Linked DNA regions of Oryctolagus cuniculus. The main gene of each other region encodes a partner of the protein of the gene in region 2 in a complex. Links are inferred from orthologs where the notes say so. Each region holds a gene or a part of one and is shown on either strand. Other genes may lie near its edges.

Region 1 (4,747 bases), on a different chromosome or scaffold from region 2:
AGGGGAGCAGAGAGGTCGGAGAGTGACTTCCTAGCGCGGTTAATACACACGGAGGACTTGCAAGAGTACCCGGTACATGACGGGCACCCAGTAAAAAGTGACAGCTCTCTTCGCACACCTGGCTCCAGGTAGGTGTGCTGTGCTGTGCTGTGCTGTGCCCCGGGATACCTGAGGTATAGCACAAGGAAATGCCAAGCCTACGACTTCTGGTGACGAAAATCACCAGAGGCGCGCTCTTTTCGTGGAAATTCCGGGTTTGGCTATTTATTGCACGCCAGGCACTCACATTCCCAAACAAAAACCTTTCTTCTACCACATTTCGCTAATCTCCTCCCAAAAGCAAAACAAAACAAAACGCGTGCTCAAAGCTCCGCCGGCAAAGCGCGAGGTGCCGAATCCGCCAGCGCCTCGCCGAAATCCGCTTTCTGAGCTCACCCCCACCCCCTCCCACAGCCCGGGGGTGAGCCCTTTCAGCTTCCCTCCAAAGACAGAAAGGGGAAGTGCAGGAAAGACACGTGCGAGGGCTGGGGTTCCTTTCTGCATGTTGCAAAGGGGGGGGAAAAAACGCAACCGTCACGAACAGGATTCGAACCTGTGCGGGGAAACCCCATTGGATTTCGAGTCCAACGCCTTAACCACTCGGCCACCGTGACTCCCAAAACCGTTCCTCGCCGCGCGCTTACAGGAGGGGTCCGCACTGCGCCGGGGAGAGCGCGCGGCGCCCGGAAGCGGCCCCCGGCCGGGCGCGCACACCGCGGGCCTCCCACCCCTCGCCCCTTACCTCTCGTCCACGTCGCTCAGAGAAGAGCGGGTGGGCCGAGTGACCCGGACAGGCAGGATCCCCTGCCTATAGAGAAGTGTTAGGGTCTCAAGGAGCGCAAAGCTACATGGAGGGCGATGGCGAGGCCTGTGGAGGAGGCGCTGAGGGGAGGGACTGGGTCCCCAGGGCGGCGGCGGGGGGCTTCTCGGGAGAAGAAGTGAGAAGGAGCTACCGGGTGGGACGAGGCGCGAGGCTGAGGGAGACTCGGTGAGAGTTGAGAAGGGGAGCTCCTGGGAATGCGTGAAAGGGAGACACTCAGGGATCACGGGCTCCTCGGCGGGGCTGGAAACGCGCAAGGGGAGGGCACTCCGGGCTGCGCGTCCCGGTGGGGTAGGAGAAAGGGGTCCACTGCGGGGCCCAGAGGCCAGAAAGAGGGAACGGGCTTCGCGTCGGGTAGAGAACGGCTTTAGGAGAGTGGCGCCCCCTCCGGGAAGCAGCCAGCTCCCCGGATGCTCCCGCGGCGGCCGCCGCCCCTGTCAGGGAGGCCACCCGAGTCGGCCCAGCGCCGGGCCCTCCGCCGCCGCCGCGGCCGCCGCACCAGGCCTGCCGGCAGGGGGCGCTGCGCGGGCCGGGGCCGGCCTAGGCGGCGGGAGGCGGCGGCCGCGGCGGCGGGAGGCGGCGGGAGGCGGGCGGAGGAGGAGGCGGAGGAGGCGGGAGCTGAGCTGAGCGGGGCGGGCGGCGGTGGCGGCGGCGGCGGCGGGGCCCGAGCCCGAGAAGATGGCGGTGCGGAAGAAGGACGGCGGCCCCAACGTGAAGTACTACGAGGCCGCGGACACCGTGACCCAGTTCGACAACGTGCGGCTGTGGCTCGGCAAGAACTACAAGAAGGTACGCGGGCAGGGCCGCGCGGGGTCCGGGGGCGGGACAAAGGCCCCGCGGCCCCGCGGCCCCCCGGGGTCCTGCCCACCCTCCAGCCGCCCTGGCCCCTCCCCCGCGGCCTCCCGGACAGCGCCCCGCGGGCCCGCGCCCCTCCCCCAGCCTCTCGCACCCCCACCCCGGCCGCGGATCCCAGCCCCCGCCCTCACGGCTGCGCCCTCTGCCCCTTGTTTTTCTCCGCTGCCCCGGTGCCGGCAGCCCACCCGCCCCCTGAGCCGTCGCCTTCTCTGCTTTTCCGGGGGGAGACGACCGGCCTAGGGTGGGCCGGGTGCTGAGCGGGCTCCCTCCCCGCGGCCCCGCGTGCCCGCCCCGGCTCCCCACGGAGCCAGGTAGCGGCGGGGCCGAGGCCTCTCCGGTGCTTTGTGTGTGTCCGGAGAGAGATGAGCGAGGCAGCGGGGTAAACAGCCGCGGGGCCCCGAAAGAGGTCCCCACCCCGGGATCACCTGTCTCCCTCCATCCGAAGGGCAACAAAACCTCCCAGGGAGACGGGGTCCGGGAGCTCCTGGGCTTCACAATGAAGTCACCCCACAGCCCAGCCTGGCGCTGCCCGGGGCTTGGGGTCCAGAGGCTTGGATCAGCTTTATAGCCCTAGCCCCTCACCCCCCTAGCCTGTAACGGAAATCCTAAGGTAGCCAACAAAAAGGTTCCAGAAGCCTCACCTGTCTTGGGTGTCTTTGTCTTGGGCCTGGTGCTTCCCTGGAGATGGGCTGCCCGTGTCCCTGTTCACTCAGCTCCAGTTGAGGATTCTTCCTGGCTTGCGTTCAGCACCCGGGGTCTTCCTGCACACCTCTGTGGCCTGTCAGAAGTGGGATGGATGGTTTAGGAGGGCCTCCCTAGCCGTGGTTCTGAGCGTGGCCCTGCACGGAGTGGGGTCTCCCTGGGTGTCAGAATCCTGACAGCTGCTGAGTCTGTGGCTTGCCTGCAGCCCAGCGTGGGGCTCTGGTTCCCAGGCTTTACCTCTGACCTTTTGGAGGGAGATGAGTTAGGGGCCTAGGGCCCTGGGGGGAGAATTGACAGCCTGTGACCCGGTTCAGCTTTCCTGCTCTTTGTCATCCACCTTCCCGTTCTGTGAGCTCCTTCTACCTCCCACTGAGTAGTGCTGTCTGCCCTGTGATTAGGGTGGAGGAAACAGGGGTCAGAAGGTAAAGAGAGAGTTAGCCTCCTGGCTCTGAGTTCAGTTAGGATGGCAGGCTGGGATGCTGATAGTGTTCACAGGAGGCCTAGGGCTGCCTGGCTCGGGTCCGGTTTCCTCGGAAAGGGTAGATGATGTTTCACAAGCTGGGGAGGAGTGGGCTCTCCTGTCTCGGAAGACATCGACGCCCGGTTCCTAGCAGAAGCACAGCTCACATGTTCACTCTTGGGCCGCCGGCCTATCTTCTCTTCTCTGCACCTTTTCCTATTAGACTACATTAGCGGGGAATCGTGGCCTCCCTCAGTTTCCCCAAAAACTGCGCTGTTGTCTTGCTTACAGCTTGGAAGGTATTGCTTCCAGAACCTGAACTCCACAAACCTTCAGGATTTTACAGCCCTCAGTGCTGTTGGCTGGAGATCAGGTGCCAAGATAACAGGGTCTGGCAACTCAGATTTCAAGGAAGAGTCCTTGGAAATTTCCCTCACCCACAACACCCTGCACTGGCAGCCACAGCTGGTGGCGGCAGAATTTCAACTTCCTGGTTAGGGGTTTCCAGGGCCACCCTTCCACCATTTTCTTTATAGGGACGAAAACACGTGGGGGAGAAAAGCACTATTTTCTCTGCCCCGGCTTCTTCCAGCCCCTAGGGAAGAAATTTGGAGGTGGTAGACAATTTATCCGGGGTCTGTTTCCCTTTGCTTTCTCCGTTCCTCTAGTATATCCAAGCTGAACCACCCACCAACAAGTCGCTGTCTAGCCTGGTTGTACAGTTGCTACAATTTCAGGAAGAAGTTTTTGGCAAACATGTCAGCAATGCGCCACTCACTAAACTGCCGGTGAGTGCAGAAGCCTCGAGTCCTCCCACCTGGCGTGGGAGGGATTTGTGAATTTTGTCATTCTTGAGATTTGGGTTCTTTCCTGCCCCCTGTGTCCCCTGCTCAGGATGTGACTGACCTGGCCTGGTCCCCAGGTTACCATGCCCATGCCCTTTGTTTTCGTAACACTTTGTGCAACAAGTTATCTCGGAGCACTGTGGGCTCCGTCCCAGTCTCTCCTGGCAGGGTTAAAAGGCCTAAGATCTGGATTTGCACAGGTTTCTTCTGTGTTAGATCCTGGCTCTACCACTTGAGGGCCCTGTGATCCTGGGCAGCCTTTGTGAGTCTTGGTTCCTTCATGTGTAGATGGGATTAACATGCCTACCTTGTGGGGTTCCTGCCAGGGTGAATGCGGTAACTCAGTATTAAGTGCTTGGTACAAGCTGGCGGGTACTGTTCTCCTTCCCCACCCCAGAGCACCCACTACAGTTACACAAGGGGTGAAGAATTCTAGCTTTGCAAGGGAACTCGGTTTGACCCGGGGTTTTATGAAAGAATTAGTAAGTGATAAGAGAATTTATGATATAACTCGCATGCTTCTCACTGTCTCCATTCTGTAGATCAAATGTTTCCTAGATTTCAAAGCAGGAGGCTCCCTGTGCCACATACTTGCAGCTGCCTACAAATTCAAGAGTGACCAGGGATGGTGAGACCCTTCATACTCAGCTTCTTACGTTAAGTTTACAGGGCACCCGCCTTGGCTCCTTGGGTGGGAGGACACAGGTGGACATTCCGTGAATGTCTTTCGCTGGGTCAGAAAAATGGCTGCGTGTCAGGGCCAAAACAATCCCCAAGAATGAGTGAGGGCATGCCCGTGGGTGTCGGTGCGTGTGCCGTGGAGGAAAAGGGATTCTCAGCGTGGCCTCTTAAGCTTCTCTTTGTCCTTCTGGGCTAAGCACAGAGGGAGGGATTTGTGGAGTTGAGATCAGTGAACCCCAGAACTCAGGTGGTCTGGCATCCACTATGAGCAAGGTTGCCTCCTAATTTCCCAAGTCAAGAAGTCACACACCCTCGCCTCGTTCCCAGCCCTGAGCTACCCCACTC
Region 2 (4,609 bases):
ACTGGGGGACAGAAATCTGGGTGGCGTGGCTTGCTAAGCGACCTGATAGCTGTGCCTTTTCTCTCTGCTCTGCCCCGCTCTCTTGCAGGGGCTTGTTGGAGCTGGAGCTCCCATCCCGCCAGCCCCTGGAGCCTCTTCTGTGGGCTGTTCAGTCTTCTTAGGCACTCTTTGAAGACTGTTGGTCATGGTGGGCTGAGTTCCCTCAGGAAGTGAGCCTGGGGCTTGGGTTCTCCAGCTGGAAAAATGTCCTGTGTCCCCCACTCTGGGCGGGTGCTTGATGACAGAGCTGGGAGTTTGGATCTATTCTGATATTTTGACCCCATTGCTGCATTTGCTCACAATTTGACTTTTTTTTCTTTAAAGGCTAAGTAGACAGGAGGCAGCTTTGGAGACTCCACTTCTTTTTAAAGCTCCCCCACCCCCCACCCTCCGACGTTAAATGACCTGGGCAGTGTCCTCCCCTCTCGGTCTTTCAATTCTGTAAAATGGGGATAATCCCGACCTCGTGCCCCCGGGGACTTGTCAAGACCAGCTAATGAGGGCAGGGGAGTGGGAAAACGCAGAGTCTGAACAATGATCGCTCGGCCCTTGCAAAGGGGTTAGAAAGCAGGGCTCTCTCGGCTGAGTCTTTGGGGCCGGTTTGTAAAAAGGCTTTCAAGAAGAAAAGTGCTGTGGAGGTGCTAAGTAACAGCCAAGAGACCAGGCTCGCTGCCAGGGGGGTCAGGCCTGGGCCGAGGCGGCCGCGGTCTCGGGCTCTGGCCAATTTTGCAGGCGCGGGTAAAGTTCACGCTGCCCGCTCCCCACGGTGCGGCCGGGAGGGGACCGGCCGGGGATCGGCACGCCGGGAGGGAGGCGGCGCAGGCTCCGGAGGGGCGCGAGCTCCGGGCCGGGTTTTCCCCGAAGCCTTCGGCGGCGGTGCTGCCGAGCGAAAGCGGCCGAGGGCCTGCCGCCGCCGCGGCTCGCTCTCTTCCCCTCCTCCTTTGTGAGGGGAAGGGAGCGAGTCCATTCCGCGGCGGCACCCGCTCCGCGCTCCACTCCGGGTTTGCCAGGCGGCCGCGACGGCGCTGGGTAAAATGGCAGTGCTGAGCCTCGTGTCGGAGTGAGGGGGACTCGGAGGAGAGTGGGGCGCTCTAGCCGCTCAGTCCTGCCGCCCGCTTGCTCGCCCGCCCGCTGCCGCGCAGCAGCCGCGGCCGGAGCCGCGGCCGGGGAGGGGAGGCAGGGCGCCCGGCCCGGCCCGCGCGCGCCGACTCTGCCTCCCGGCGCCCCGGCTGCTGCCGCGCGCCCTCCAGCCCGCCCGTCCCGGGTCCCCCTCCCCCCGCTCCCTCCCTCCCTCCCCGCCCCCTCCCCCTCGCCTCCCTCCCTCCCTCCCTCCTCCTTTCTCCGGCAGCAGAAAGCGGAGAGTCACAGCGGGGCCAGGCCCTGGGGAGCGGAGCCTCCACCGCCCCCCTCATTCCCAGGCAAGGGCTTGGGGGGAATGAGCCGGGAGAGCCGGGTCCCGAGCCTGCAGAGCCGGGAGCAGCTGAGCCGCCGGCGCCTCGGCCGCCGCCGCCGCCGCCTCCTCCTCCTCCGCCGCCGCCAGCCCGGAGCCTGAGCCGGCGGGGCGGGGGGGAGAGGAGCGAGCGAGCGAGCGCAGCGCAGCAGCGGAGCCCCGCGAGGCCCGCCCGGGCGGGTGGGGAGGGCAGCCCGGGGGACTCGGCCCCGGGGCGGGGTGGGAGGGGGGGAGACGACGAAGACAGGGCCGGGTCTCTCCGCGGACGAGACAGCGGGGATCATGGCCGCGCAGGTCGCCCCCGCCGCCGCCAGCAGCCTGGGCAACCCGCCGCCGCCGCCGCCGCCGCCGCCCTCGGAGCTGAAGAAAGCCGAGCAGCAGCAGCAGCAGCGGGAGGAGGCGGGGGGCGAGGCGGCAGCGGCAGCAGCAGCAGCCGAGCGCGGGGAAATGAAGGCAGCCGCCGGGCAGGAAAGCGAGGGCCCCGCCGTGGGGCCGCCGCAGCCGCTGGGAAAGGAGCTGCAGGACGGGGCCGAGAGCAATGGGGGTGGCGGCGGCGGCGGAGCCGGCAGCGGCGGCGGGCCCGGCGCGGAGCCGGACCTGAAGAACTCGAACGGGAACGCGGGCCCTAGGCCCGCCCTGAACAATAACCTCACGGAGCCGCCCGGCGGCGGCGGCGGCGGCGGCGGCAGCAGCAGCGACGGGGTGGGGGCGCCTCCTCACTCAGCCGCGGCCGCCCTGCCGCCCCCAGCCTACGGCTTCGGGCAGCCCTACGGCCGGAGCCCGTCTGCCGTCGCCGCCGCGGCGGCCGCCGTCTTCCACCAACAACATGGCGGACAACAAAGCCCTGGCCTGGCAGCGCTGCAGAGCGGCGGTGGCGGCGGGGGCCTGGAGCCCTACGCGGGGCCCCAGCAGAACTCGCACGACCACGGCTTCCCCAACCACCAGTACAACTCCTACTACCCCAACCGCAGCGCCTACCCCCCGCCCCCCCAGGCCTACGCGCTGAGCTCCCCGAGAGGTGGCACTCCGGGCTCCGGCGCGGCGGCGGCCGCCGGCTCCAAGCCGCCTCCCTCCTCCAGCGCCTCCGCCTCCTCGTCGTCTTCGTCCTTCGCTCAGCAGCGCTTCGGGGCCATGGGGGGAGGCGGCCCCTCCGCGGCCGGCGGGGGAACCCCCCAGCCTACCGCCACCCCCACCCTCAACCAACTGCTCACGTCGCCCAGCTCGGCCCGGGGCTACCAGGGCTACCCCGGGGGCGACTACGGCGGCGGGCCCCAGGACGGGGGCGCCGGCAAGGGCCCGGCGGACATAGCCTCGCAGTGCTGGGGGGCTGCGGCGGCGGCAGCGGCGGCGGCGGCGGCCGCCTCGGGAGGGGCCCAACAAAGGAGCCACCACGCGCCCATGAGCCCCGGGAGCAGCGGCGGCGGGGGGCAGCCGCTCGCCCGGACCCCTCAGGTACACAGCTGAGCGGGGAGGGGGGCTGGGGCGAGCTGGGCCGGGCGGTGGGGGGGTGGGTGGCGGCTGCGGGGAGCAGGCCCCAGCCGTGGGCTCCGCTCGGTCCCGGGCCCCCACTGCTGGGGAGCTGCCATTGTCTGGCTCTTCTCTCTTAAAATGGCTGCCTGTCTGCCTTCTTCTCCTTCCCTCCTTCAGCCTTTGTGTGGGGCTTTTCCAGAGGTGTCTGCTGCCCGGCTCCCCCTCCCCTGGCCCCTGCGAACTCCGCGGGTCTTCAGGGGGGTGCGGGGCAGAGTGTGCGGGGAAGGGCCCGGCCTGGGGTGAGGGGGTGCCGGGGGCTCAGATCAGGGGTGTAAGCGGTGGTAGGAGCCCCGGAAGGCGAGCGAGCGTCCCCCTGCTCGCCTGCCGCTCCTCTCTGTGCCCCCTGCTTGTCTCTAGGCCGTCCCCCGTCTGTGCTCTCGAGGAGGGGCCCCTCGGGCCCGGGGGACCTCGCGGGAGGGTAGGGGCCTTCTTGGGGGCAGCTAGAGGCCGGCTGCGGTTCACCCCGGGCAGCCCGGCCATCGCCTGTCTTGGTCTCCGCCGGCCCAGTGGCCTGGGCTTCTCCCTGGAAGCGCTGGTAAACAGCTGAGTGATTGGAGTAGTAAGTGCAGATTGCTTTGGTTTGGGATTTGAATTATGGAGGTAAAATCCTTCTGTCAAAGCCAGGAGACAGTTGGTCTTAGGTTGACATCCTATCTGTGATCTGATTGGCTCCCCATCTCCTGCTCTTGGCCATTTATAATTGCCTCTGATGTAATGGTACAACAATCCTGATGAGCTCATAAACTTTTACACTCTGCTTTTCTGCCAGTGATAACCCAAACCATCGCTGCCACTATCAGCCTTTTTTATTCCAGAGCTGAAATTGGCTGTGACCTTGAGGAGGGAGGTTTAAGCCGCAATACTGTATCAGCAGGAGCAGAGCCCCAGACAGGCTGCCCTTGTTACATTGTGCCTGAAACAAAAGAGGAGGCCATGGCATTTTGCTTGTACCTTGGATTTATTTTGCTTGTTATATTTTATGCAGCCTGAAATAGATTCTGTGTTGTCCGAACAGTAGCTGAGTTTCTTCTCTACAATGGGTTTGCTGTTTGTTTTGGTTTTGTGACTTTCCTGATGGGATAAATGACTTCTTTGATGACTGTGAAGATGCATTTATCTTGAGTAATTCTGACACTGTTTGCAGAATTGAAATTATTTTGCTGTTTGGTTTTTTTTTAATTGAGTGGCAAATGTGGGACCTTTGTGGGGAGGGGGCATTTTTGGTTATCACTGTAATCCTTTTTAAAATGGGGAGCTTTCTTTGGGAATTTCATGTTAGATTCAAGTGTTCTGTTTTAAGCAAGGCTGGCCTCATTCTTTGTTTACATGTTGAATCTTGTTAACAGTTTTCTTTTGTTAATTAGACTTCGGGAGAGCAACTTAAAGAGAAACTGGTGTCTTTCATGATGTTGAGGGACTTTCTCCTGAAGGCTTGCTTTGGCGAAATTATTGTCTCTTCCTGGAATAACAAAAAGGCTAGTTTTTTGTTTTTGCCATCACTCATTTGGAGCTTTGAGATAGAGACTGGTCAGTTTTTTTTGCTTTGCATTTCAATGTATGTTCTGTTCCCACCCCCCCTTCTTCCAAGAT
Region 3 (4,877 bases), about 120 Mb from region 2:
AGGAGGACTTGCTCCTTGCTTAGCGTTTTTCCTCGCCTCTTCCAATCCCCGCCACTCTCCCACCTGGTTCCCGCGGGTCCTGACAGCCCCCCTTGCACGCCCCCTTCGCGCGCCCCCCCCCCCCCCACTCACCTGCGACTCCGCGCGGGGGCGGTGGGCACCGGTTGGCCTTGGCTCTGGGCCTGGCTCTGCCCGGGCGGGGGCGCTGCTCGCTTGCGGGCGGGCTCCATGCCCGCGGGGGCCAGGCCGGGTCGCACGGCGGGGCTGCCCATGTACGGTGAGCCCGGGGGGCCCATGGGCGCCCCCTGGTGGGGCATCCGGGCTCCAGACGGCATCCCGGGACGCTGGGGGTGGGGCGGGGGTGAAGCAGAAACCGGCACCCGCGGGTCAGACCAGGAACCCTGGCTCCAGGCGCAGCGAGTCGGCGTCTCCCTTCCCCCCCACCCCAAGACCCCCGGCTGGTGACCCTGAGCGCCGAGCGCTGGGTGGGAGGGGCAGAGGCACCGGATCGGTGCGGCTTCGGCGGAGGGGGCTTGGCGTGTCGCTGCAGGAAGCTAACTGAAGCCAGGCAATTGTCCAGGGCATTGCCGAGCCTGGAGCTGCGGAAGGTACCGCAAAAACGCACAGTAACTGGCAATGGCGCCTTTCCACCTTCCAAAGGAGGTTCACACCCTCACGCGCCTCTGCCAGACTCAGTGAACAGGTCCTCTCATTCCCACTTGACAGACGAGGCAACTGTGGCTCAAGGAGAACGGCGACCTCGCCAAGGTCACGCAGCTCATCTTGGCTAGGACAACACCTGAAGGGCTCCGGGTTCCTGAGGGCCGCAGCGTTTTGCCGTTTGCGGCTTCGTTGAAGTTAGGGGCTGAGCTCCCTGCTCTGACTTTCCTTACGGCTCCCTCCCTCTTGGTCTCCACTCCTCCAGCTGTTCTGCCTTGCACCGGCTCCTCCTCAGCTGCCCCCTCCTCTCTCCACGCCCTGCTTTTGGACCTCTGCATCCCAAACTCCATCCCCTCCAGCTGACTCCACACCCAGAGGCTTCAGCAACTAAGCTGGACCCCAAGATTTGCTCCCCGGGTGAAGGCTGAAGGCAGAGCAAGGGCAAAGGCACCTGAGGGGCTGACGTCACAGCCTGCCAGGATTCTGATTGGGAGGAGGGGGAGCTGGGCTGGAGGTGAGCTACCAGGGGGCCTGGGCCAGGTCAAAGGAAGCAGCGTGTCCACCCGCACCCATCAGCCATCAGCCAAGGCTTCACACCCAGCAGGCTTCCTCCACTGCTCACCCCCACCCCAGTGAAGCCAGGTTTCAAAGAGGGTGGTGGAGAGGGAGATGAGGTGGGTCATGTGCCCCTAGGTGGTTGGATGGGGTGTAAATGAGATGCAAATGAGTGAAGTGCTACTGCCACTTGTCCAGAGTTCAGGAGGGATATGAGGGTTTCAGGGGCTTGTGTAGCAGCAGGGGAGTGGGTGGGATGGGGACTGGGAAAAGCAGGAATCTTGGGGAGCAAGGGGCCCCTGTTGTCATTTATCCACTCCATTATCTCACCCTAGGCCCAAGGAGACGCCCCGATGCTGCCCCTGACTTTGCCCCTAAAGCCCTCCCACTCCCAGCCAGCAGCTGTCTCTGTCCATCTTTCCAGCAGTGAAACCTGCCCGACCATGTGTCTGCCTCCCCCCACCCCACCTGACCCTGTCACTCATGCTTCCAGGGTGGCAACCCAGAATGGAGCTAGCTGGTGACCATTCTCCGCCAGCCTAGATGGGGCACTGGGAGTGGGGATGGTGGGGCGCCGAGCCACCTAAGAACTGAAGCATTAAGTTGGCCATATATATATATATATAGAGAGAGAGAGAGAGAGAGAGAGAGACCCATGTCGAGCCTCTCTCCCTGCTAGCTGGGCCTTTTCAAAGGAACTCCCCGCAGCAGCAAGGCTAGGACCGGTGATGCAGCTGGTGGACATGCAGGCCCTGGAAAGTCGACCCCAGAGATGCCCAGCGCTGGAGGCCAGGCTGACCCAGGAACCCCCTTGGCTTTATCAGCTGGGCTCCCTCTCTGTCAAGGCCAGGGATACTGCCTGCTCTGCTGGGAGGCTTCCAGGGCCCCCAGGGAGCTGTGCCAGCCACCAGCACCACCCCCACAACAGGCCAAGATTCAGGGACTCTGGCCTCCCTCACCAAGAAGGTGCCCTCCTGGGGGGTCACGGCCAAATGTGGCCGCAGTGAACCTGACGTCGTCCCCTCTCGCGTCTCCACACCCAGCGTGGCCCCCGAGCCACCCAGCTCAGGCCTCTTCCGTGCCCTGCCTCGGGTTGCTGAGGCTGCCTGGGGCTTCCCACGTGCCTCTGGGGCTGCCCTGTCCCTGGGATCCCTAGGCCTCACGTCCCCGACTCCGGCCCTTTCTTCACACCTTGGAGATATTAAGGACAGGCGTCTGCCAAGGGGACGCTCGGACTCCTTCCACCTGGAGTCTGTCCCTAGAGGGAGCCTCTCCCTGACCCTGATGGCAGGGGCTACGCCGAAAATGCCCCAGTGCCCTCCTGCCAGGATACAGAGGTTGCTCAGCCAGAGGGCTTTCGCGCCCACAGTGCCTCCAGGGTCACCTGCTCCACGCTCTGGAAACAGAGTGACACCGTCCCAACGGATGTGAACAGACAACCCAACAGGGCTGCGCCGCGTCCCCGTCCCCCGCCCCCACCCCCGGGGAAGGGGTAACACCTGGGCCCGCTGGGGAACCCAGACAACATGTCGGCCACAGAAGGGGACCCCCACCTGGGTGGGGGGAGTCCCCCAGTCCCACGCCCGCCCCTGACAAGAGCCCGCGCAGTCGCCTGCCTTCCCCGCCGCGCGCGCCCATCCCCGGCCCGCCGCCTGACGACGTGTTGGCACGCCAGGGCGCCGGCACGGTCCCGGCGCTGGGCTGTGGCCGCGGCGCCCCCGCCGGAGGGGTGGGCGCGCGGGAGCGCCCTCCCGGCCCCTCCCGGCCATCCCTCCATTCAGCCCGAGCCAGCTCGCTCACCCTCCCCCGCTAACTTTCCCCCACTCACCACCCCATGGACCAGAAACTCAAAAAGTTTGCTTTTCGTGGCTTTGCGCGCCCCTCCGGCAACTTCGTCCGCGGCCATCGGGGTGGGCTCAGCGGCGCCTCTCACTCTCTCTCTCTCTTCCTCTTTCTTTCCCTTTTCTGCCTTTTTTTTCCTCCAACTCTCCCCTCTGAGTCCTGCTGGGCTCTCTCACACTTCTACTCGAGCGGAGTGGGGAGGGGGCCCCTTCAGGGCTGCCCTGACGGCCCACGGCCCACGCCGCCGCCGCCGCCGCCCGCCCGCCGCCGCTGCCGCCGCCGCCGCCGCGGCTGCCGCATTCCTGCACTGATAAGACAGAAATAGTCCGGCGGCCCGGGGTCTGCCTGTTGACTCGGCGGGGACGGGGACGCCGGCCTTTGCAGCCCGCGCTGTCCAAACAGCGCAGATAAGCGGCGAGGTGCGCGGCGAGCCCGGCCCCGCCTGGGCGCAGGGTAGCGGCGCTTGCAGCCCGGAGCCGCCCGAGGGCCGCGCGGGGAGCTGGCGGGGGGCTCGCCGGCCACCCGGGCTCTCGCCACAAATAGCTGCTCGGTTAGGGAATTCGCCGGCAGGGCCAGGCAGGGAACAGTCAGTTCCAACTTTCTTCCCTCCCCGAGAGGCTCCGGCTGCATTTCTGAGGCCCTTTCCCCAGAGACCTGGCAGGCCAAGTAGGGAAACATTCGCGGGCAGGAATCCGGGGGGGAGCCGAGGCCGGCCGCGCCGGGTGTGCCGGGGAGGAGGCGCTCCCTGCGCGCACGGCTGTGTGTGTGTGTGTGTGTGTGTGTGTGTTGTGCCCTTGTCTGGCGGCCGGCGTCCGCACCCTGCGGCCCGGCGCGGCGGCTGCGGGTGTTGACGAGGGCGCACGGACGGACGCCTCGCCCGGGGGCCTCGCTGCGCGGGAGCCGCCAGGCCTGCGCGCGTGCGTGGGGCCGGGACGCGGCCTGCGCCGCGCTCCGCTCCGCGCGAGGCTATTTCTGGGTATGTGGGTCTTTGTTTGCCTCTGTGTGAGAAAGTGAGGGCAGGAGGGCAAGTATTTCGGAAGGAGGGACGGGGACGGGGCTCAGAGAGCGCAGCGAGGGGGAAACGCGGGGCGAGGCGGCGCAGGGCCGGGCTGGGGGCTTCGGTGGGGGCGTCTGGGAAGCAGGAGACAAGCGGGGCTTGAGGGCCTAGGGGTGCGGACCCCGGAGGGGTCGGGCCCGCCTCAGCATCCCAGAGGAAGCCGGGGCGCAGGGTGGGGTGAGAGCGAGCCCCCGAAGGGGCGGTGTGCAGGGAGCTGGCAGTCCCTGGGGTGGAGGAGAGACAGGAAAGAGGAGGGGCGAATCCTGAGATCCCCAGACTGGGCGCCCTGGCCCCGCCCATGCCCCAAGGCCACGCCCCTATCTCCTCCTCCCGGAGGAGGGGCCCGTGGGCTTTGGGACGACAGAGGGTCAAGTTTAAGGGCCTGCTGGGGCTGCGGTGTCAACACAGGTGAGGGCGGGGCAACGGGACACCTACTTGAAGTTGGGCCCTGAAGACCCAGCATTGCCCTGCGGGTCCTGGCCCTCCTGCCTTGGGGAGTTCAGGACAAAGAACGCGGGACAGCTCTGCCCAGACTCTGCCTGCAGCCTGGTTTCCCTTGGGCCCCGACTGCGTGCGGGGCTGTGAGCGCCCATGTAGGTTCCCACTGTCTACTGAAAGGCAGAGAGGGTCTCTGCTTCAGGCTCTACCTCTGGCCTGGTGGGGGGGACCCAGAAATTCCCCCTTCCTACCAGGGCTTCACCCCAGGCCACTGCCCACCACCACCCACACACAGAGAAGCCCCGGCCATGGGGTAGCTTAGTGG
Region 4 (4,870 bases), on a different chromosome or scaffold from region 2:
CAGCCTATGGTCAGGGACAGCAGAGCTTGGAGGGAACACAGAGGTCACATCTCACTGGCTGAGAAGAGATGTGGCTCCACCCCCAGCTCCGCCCCCGCTGGGCTATGTGGCCAAGACAGCACCCTGCCTCCATGTGGGGCAACCCCTGCAAAACGCAGGGCTTGGACTCGTGACTGGTAAGGTTTCTTCTGACTGGGAAAGTTCCTGACTCTGAGACGGCCGGTGGAGATGGAGGTTGAAGGGGAGTGGAACTGACTTGGGAGGAAGTGAGGCAACATTTCTCAGTGTTCAGCAGACAGCATGCAGAGGATCAGCATGAACAGAATCTCTTTCACCCCTTCAAACCCCCACCCCCAGCATTTGGAAGATGAAGAGATACAGGCTATGGGAGCTTAGCGGGCTCACGCAGTTCATGCAGGCCTCACATTATAGAGAAGTCAGTGACTGGCCTGTGGTCACTTGAGAAAATGTCAATCTCCTAGCTGCTGGGTCAGCTCCTTCCCTCCCCTCCAGCTCACTCCTCCCACTGACACCTGCAGGGCTCCAGTCTGGGGAGCCAGACCTGGACTCGGAACCCACCGCGGGTATGCGCAATGCCACTGTCACCAGGAAGTAATGAATGAGCCAGCTCAGCCCATCCTTTGGTTGAGGGAAGAGCTGGGTCTTTTCCACAAGGGGCAACCAGTGAGCAGAGAACCCTCGGGGACATGCCGCAGTCACACTACCCTCTTCCTGTGCCATTTCTGTTCTCACAGCTCCCAAACCCCAAACAAGCAGGTGGGAGTGCAGAAGTGCCCCAACACATTATATTCACGTGTGCATATGCACATGCACACAGCCGACACATTATGTTCACATGTGCATATGTACATGCACACACACACACACACGGCCACACTGGCCAGCACAGGCTCAGAGTCTGACTCAGGCAGTCAGAGCTGCTGCTTCACTTCTGCTATCCAAACCTGCTATGCTGGTAGTGCTGGGAGCCCAGAAGAACCCAGGGCCTACCAGAAACTGGACACCGTGATCATTGCCTCCCAGGGAGAACAGGCGGTTGAGCAGAGAGGGAAGGGTAAGGACAGGCCAGCTGAGTGCCTGTGTGTGCATGTGTGCACGTGTGTAGGTGGAAGGCCCAGGAGAGGAAAAGAGGCCATGAGGGAGACCAGGGTGGGAAGACACGGGGAAGAGATGGAGACACACCCCCTCGGGTCGCGCCCTCTCTGTCTTCCCTTCTACTCCCGGGAGACGTCCTTCAGGCCTAGGTGTGACAGAAACCTTGTGATGGTGGCACTCCCCCCAACACACCCCACAGCCCATTTGAAAAGCTACGGCAGCAGGGTCCCCATCAGTCACCCTGTGGGATCCTGGTCTCGGGGAGGACAAGGTCTCCCTCGTTCTCCTACTCTCCTCTCTGCCGCCCATTGCTTAGGGCTGGTCTTCCTGGGGTCCTCCCCGCCGCCGAGCGCGAAGGTGTCTGCGCCTTTAAAGCGGCGGCCCCCGGCCGGGTTATTGTCTCGCCTCGCAGCCAATCGCCGGAGCCGTTGGGGGCGGGGGACCCGGCCTCCCGATTGGCCGCCGCGCGCCCCGCCCGCCCGGGATCCCGGGAGCTGTCCGGCCGCCGCGGTGCTGATCCCGCCGCCGCCCACGGGCCGCGAGCCGCACCGAGGGGCACTATGAGCGGGGGCGTCTACGGCGGAGGTGAGCCGGTCCCGGGCCTCCGGGGCCTCGCGCGCAGCCCTGCGCCCCGTATCCGCGCCACCCAAGCTCGGGGCACCCCGGGGCCTGTCACCTCGGCGCTCGAGCGAGTCCGACCCCAGGTTTGGGTCCCGTGCCACCCCTACTTTCTGTCTTCCCGGGACGCCCCAGGCGCGCCGGGCCCAGCCTCTCCACTATCCAGCCCTTCTCCGCCCGACCCCTGGCTCCGTCCTTCCCAGCCCCGAGAGTGGCCTGAACAAGGCCACCGGGTAGGAGGGAACTCTGGCGGCTTGACCCCCACTCCAAGGCCCCCACTCGGACTGTGGCTCTGCCCTGTCCCCCTTCCTCTCGGATCTGTCCGCGAGGACAGAGTTTGGGGAAGGTCTCCTCACCTGCTTGTCTCCCCGCACAGATGAGGTGGGGGCGCTGGTCTTCGACATTGGCTCCTTCTCGGTCCGCGCCGGGTATGCTGGGGAGGACTGTCCCAAGGTGAGACTTTCAGATCTCTTCCCAAATCCTCCCCAGGCTCGCCACTAACCCAGGGCTCTCCCAGCCGAGCCCACACGCTCTGCTGAGCAAGTGTGGGAGAAGAGCCAGGGGCGGGCTGAGGACCCTGCCCTGGGGCTGAACGGGTAACCGGGTGATCTTCCTTTCTCTGCCCATGCTGCCCCCTCCCACCCAGGCTGACTTCCCCACCACGGTGGGGCTGCTGGCCGCGGAGGAGGGGGGCGGGCTGGAGCTGGAGGGGGAGAAAGAGAAGAAGGGGAAGATCTTCCACATTGACACCAATGCCCTGCACGTGCCTCGGGATGGAGCGGAGGTCATGTCGCCCCTCAAGAACGGCATGAGTAAGGGCCCCCCCCCCCGACCCTGAGTCAGACCAGGAGCCCACTCCCAGCCCGTGGGACTCTGTCTCACAGCCACGGAGTCCTCCTCACAACTGTCCAAGTCCCAGGGACCTCCTCAGAGCCCCCTGTAGCTGCCTGGTTCCCAGCCCAGGAGCCCCAAATTCCCGGGAGTGGGGAAGGGGCTTTTCCTCTGGAGTTGAACTCCCCCTCCCCTGGACTTGGCGTCTCTCCCTGCTTCCTTTCCCGTCGCTGACCCCTCCCCGCCTCACCTGTGTCTTTCTGGCCCCAGTTGAGGACTGGGAGTGCTTCCGAGCCATCCTGGATCACACCTACAGCAAACACGTCAAGTCTGAGCCAAACCTGCACCCCGTGCTCATGTCAGAGGCCCCGGTGAGTGCCCTGGGGCCCCAGCACAGTCTTCCCACCCCTTACCTGTCCTTTCTCAGACAGTCCTTCCAGCCTTGTCATCTTGGGCCACCTGTCTTCCTCTTGCTCTACCTCTTTCTCTTCCTGCTCTATAAGCCCCTCTCCTCTCCAGTTCTTTTTTAATCCTTTAACTTGAAAATAGTTGTAGTACATATGGTCGATTTGCTTTGTAAAACATGTTAAGAAGAAACACTGCAGTTCTTGCCGCCTCTTCCATTTCCCCTTTTCCAAATGCCATTGCTTTTCTCCCTGTTATCTTTTTTTTTTTTTTTTTTGTATTTCTTTCCGTATCTCCCAATATCACACTTACATTGCTGTTTGCAGGTTTTCTATATTAGGCATCATCTAAGAATTTCCTACTAGAAAAAAGAGCATTGAGCTCTCTCCTCCTCTAGCCTATATCACACATACTTCTCATTCCCCACCTTTAAGTACAGTTCTGGCTTAGACTTCCTGAAAGATCAGTATTCACTATTTAGCCTCCTGTTACTATGTATGCTAATCAGGGCTGAGCTGGGGAATCCATGATCGCTTTTCTGTTTCTTGAGTGGCTTTAAACAATCTGATTTTAGCTCTCCTTTCACCCCCACGTCCAGAGCCAGCTGACAGCGCCCATTTCTAGTTCTCTCAGGGTTCCAAGCTCAGTACAGGTTGTTCCTGGCTTTTCCCAGTACTGCCTTACAGCATTTGTAAATCTGTTAAGTCAGTTACTACTCACCGATCTCATCCTTAACTTTCAAAGTTTGTTGCTGGTTGCTCTTTTCTTATTTTCTTTTTTAGATTTTTTTTTTTTTTTTTGGACAGGCAGAGTTAGACAGTGTGAGAGAGAGACAGAGAGGAGAAAGGTCTTCCTTCTGTTGGTTCACCCCACAAATGGCCGCTGCGGCCGGCACACTGCGCTGATCCGAAGCCAGGAACCAGGTGCTTCCTCCTGGTCTCCCATGCGGATGCAGGGCCCTAGAACCTGGGCCATTCTCCACTGCACTCCTGGGCCACAGCAGGGAGCTGGACTGGAAGAGGAGCAACCGGGACAGAACTGGCACCCCAACCGGGACTAGAACCAGGTGTGCCGGCGCCACAGGCGGAGGATTAGCCTAGTGAGCCGCAGCACCAGCCACTCTTTTCTTCTTTTCACAACCTGAGGCACTACTCTTTCTCAGGTGAAATTCACATGACATAAAATTCACCTTTTTAAGTCAATCATTGAGGGGCAGGCATTTGGCATAGTGGTTACGACGCCACTTGGGATGCCTGCATCCTACATCAGAGTGCCTGGGTACAAGTCGCAGCTCTGCTTCTGATTCCGGCTTCCTGTTAGTGTGCACCCCTGGGAGGCAGCAAGTGATGACTCAGTTATTTGGATCCCTGTCCCCCGTGTGGAAGACCTGGATTGAGTTCCTGGCTTCTGGCTTCAGCCTGGCCCAGTCTTGGCTGTTGAAGGATTTGGGGGAGTACATCAATGCATGGGAGCTCTGTCTGTCTCTCTCTCTCTCCATATTTCTGAGAAAAAAGCAATTCCATGATTTAAAAAAATTATTAATATAAAGAGAACAGATTTCGTGTATTTCTTTTTTGTTTTTCTTTTTTCTTTTTCTTTCTTTATTTGACAGGCAGAGTGGACAGTGAGAGAGAGAGACAGAGAGAAAGGTCTTCCTTTGCCACTGGTTCACCCTCCAATGGCCGCCATGGCCAGCACACTGCGGCCGGCGCACCGCGCTGATCCGATGTCAGGAGCCAAGTATTTATCCTGGTCTCTCATGGGATGCAGGGCCCAAGCACTTGGGCCATCCACCACTGCTTTCCCAGGCATATTAGCAAGGAGCTGGATCAGAAGTGGAGCAGCTGGGACTTGAACCGGTGCCTATATGGGATACTGACACTGCAGGCAGAAGCCTAAC

What was found.
Region 1: ARID1A (region 2) and SMARCC2 share a complex: the UniProt entries of both Homo sapiens proteins name them as parts of the neuron-specific chromatin remodeling complex. The link is inferred for Oryctolagus cuniculus from reciprocal best matches to the Homo sapiens genes ARID1A and SMARCC2.
Region 3: ARID1A (region 2) and SMARCD3 share a complex: the UniProt entries of both Homo sapiens proteins name them as parts of the neuron-specific chromatin remodeling complex. The link is inferred for Oryctolagus cuniculus from reciprocal best matches to the Homo sapiens genes ARID1A and SMARCD3.
Region 4: ARID1A (region 2) and ACTL6B share a complex: the UniProt entries of both Homo sapiens proteins name them as parts of the neuron-specific chromatin remodeling complex. The link is inferred for Oryctolagus cuniculus from reciprocal best matches to the Homo sapiens genes ARID1A and ACTL6B.

Annotation. Positions count from the first base shown.
Region 1 is NC_091442.1:58,991,608-58,996,354, reverse strand, and holds the start of SMARCC2 (SWI/SNF complex subunit SMARCC2), read left to right. Parts: upstream 1-1,432; 5' UTR 1,433-1,537; coding exon 1,538-1,648; intron 1,649-3,544; coding exon 3,545-3,664; intron 3,665-4,263; coding exon 4,264-4,349; intron 4,350-4,747. UniProt on the Homo sapiens protein: Involved in transcriptional activation and repression of select genes by chromatin remodeling (alteration of DNA-nucleosome topology).
Region 2 is NC_091438.1:144,806,846-144,811,454, reverse strand, and holds the start of ARID1A (AT-rich interactive domain-containing protein 1A), read left to right. Parts: upstream 1-1,709; 5' UTR 1,710-1,771; coding exon 1,772-2,941; intron 2,942-4,609. UniProt on the Homo sapiens protein: Involved in transcriptional activation and repression of select genes by chromatin remodeling (alteration of DNA-nucleosome topology).
Region 3 is NC_091438.1:22,579,557-22,584,433, reverse strand, and holds the start of SMARCD3 (SWI/SNF-related matrix-associated actin-dependent regulator of chromatin subfamily D member 3), read right to left. Parts: upstream 3,316-4,877; 5' UTR 3,122-3,315; coding exon 3,044-3,121; intron 345-3,043; coding exon 133-344; intron 1-132. UniProt on the Homo sapiens protein: Involved in transcriptional activation and repression of select genes by chromatin remodeling (alteration of DNA-nucleosome topology).
Region 4 is NC_091450.1:42,838,953-42,843,822, reverse strand, and holds the start of ACTL6B (actin-like protein 6B), read left to right. Parts: upstream 1-1,555; 5' UTR 1,556-1,676; coding exon 1,677-1,701; intron 1,702-2,110; coding exon 2,111-2,187; intron 2,188-2,380; coding exon 2,381-2,546; intron 2,547-2,835; coding exon 2,836-2,936; intron 2,937-4,870. UniProt on the Homo sapiens protein: Involved in transcriptional activation and repression of select genes by chromatin remodeling (alteration of DNA-nucleosome topology).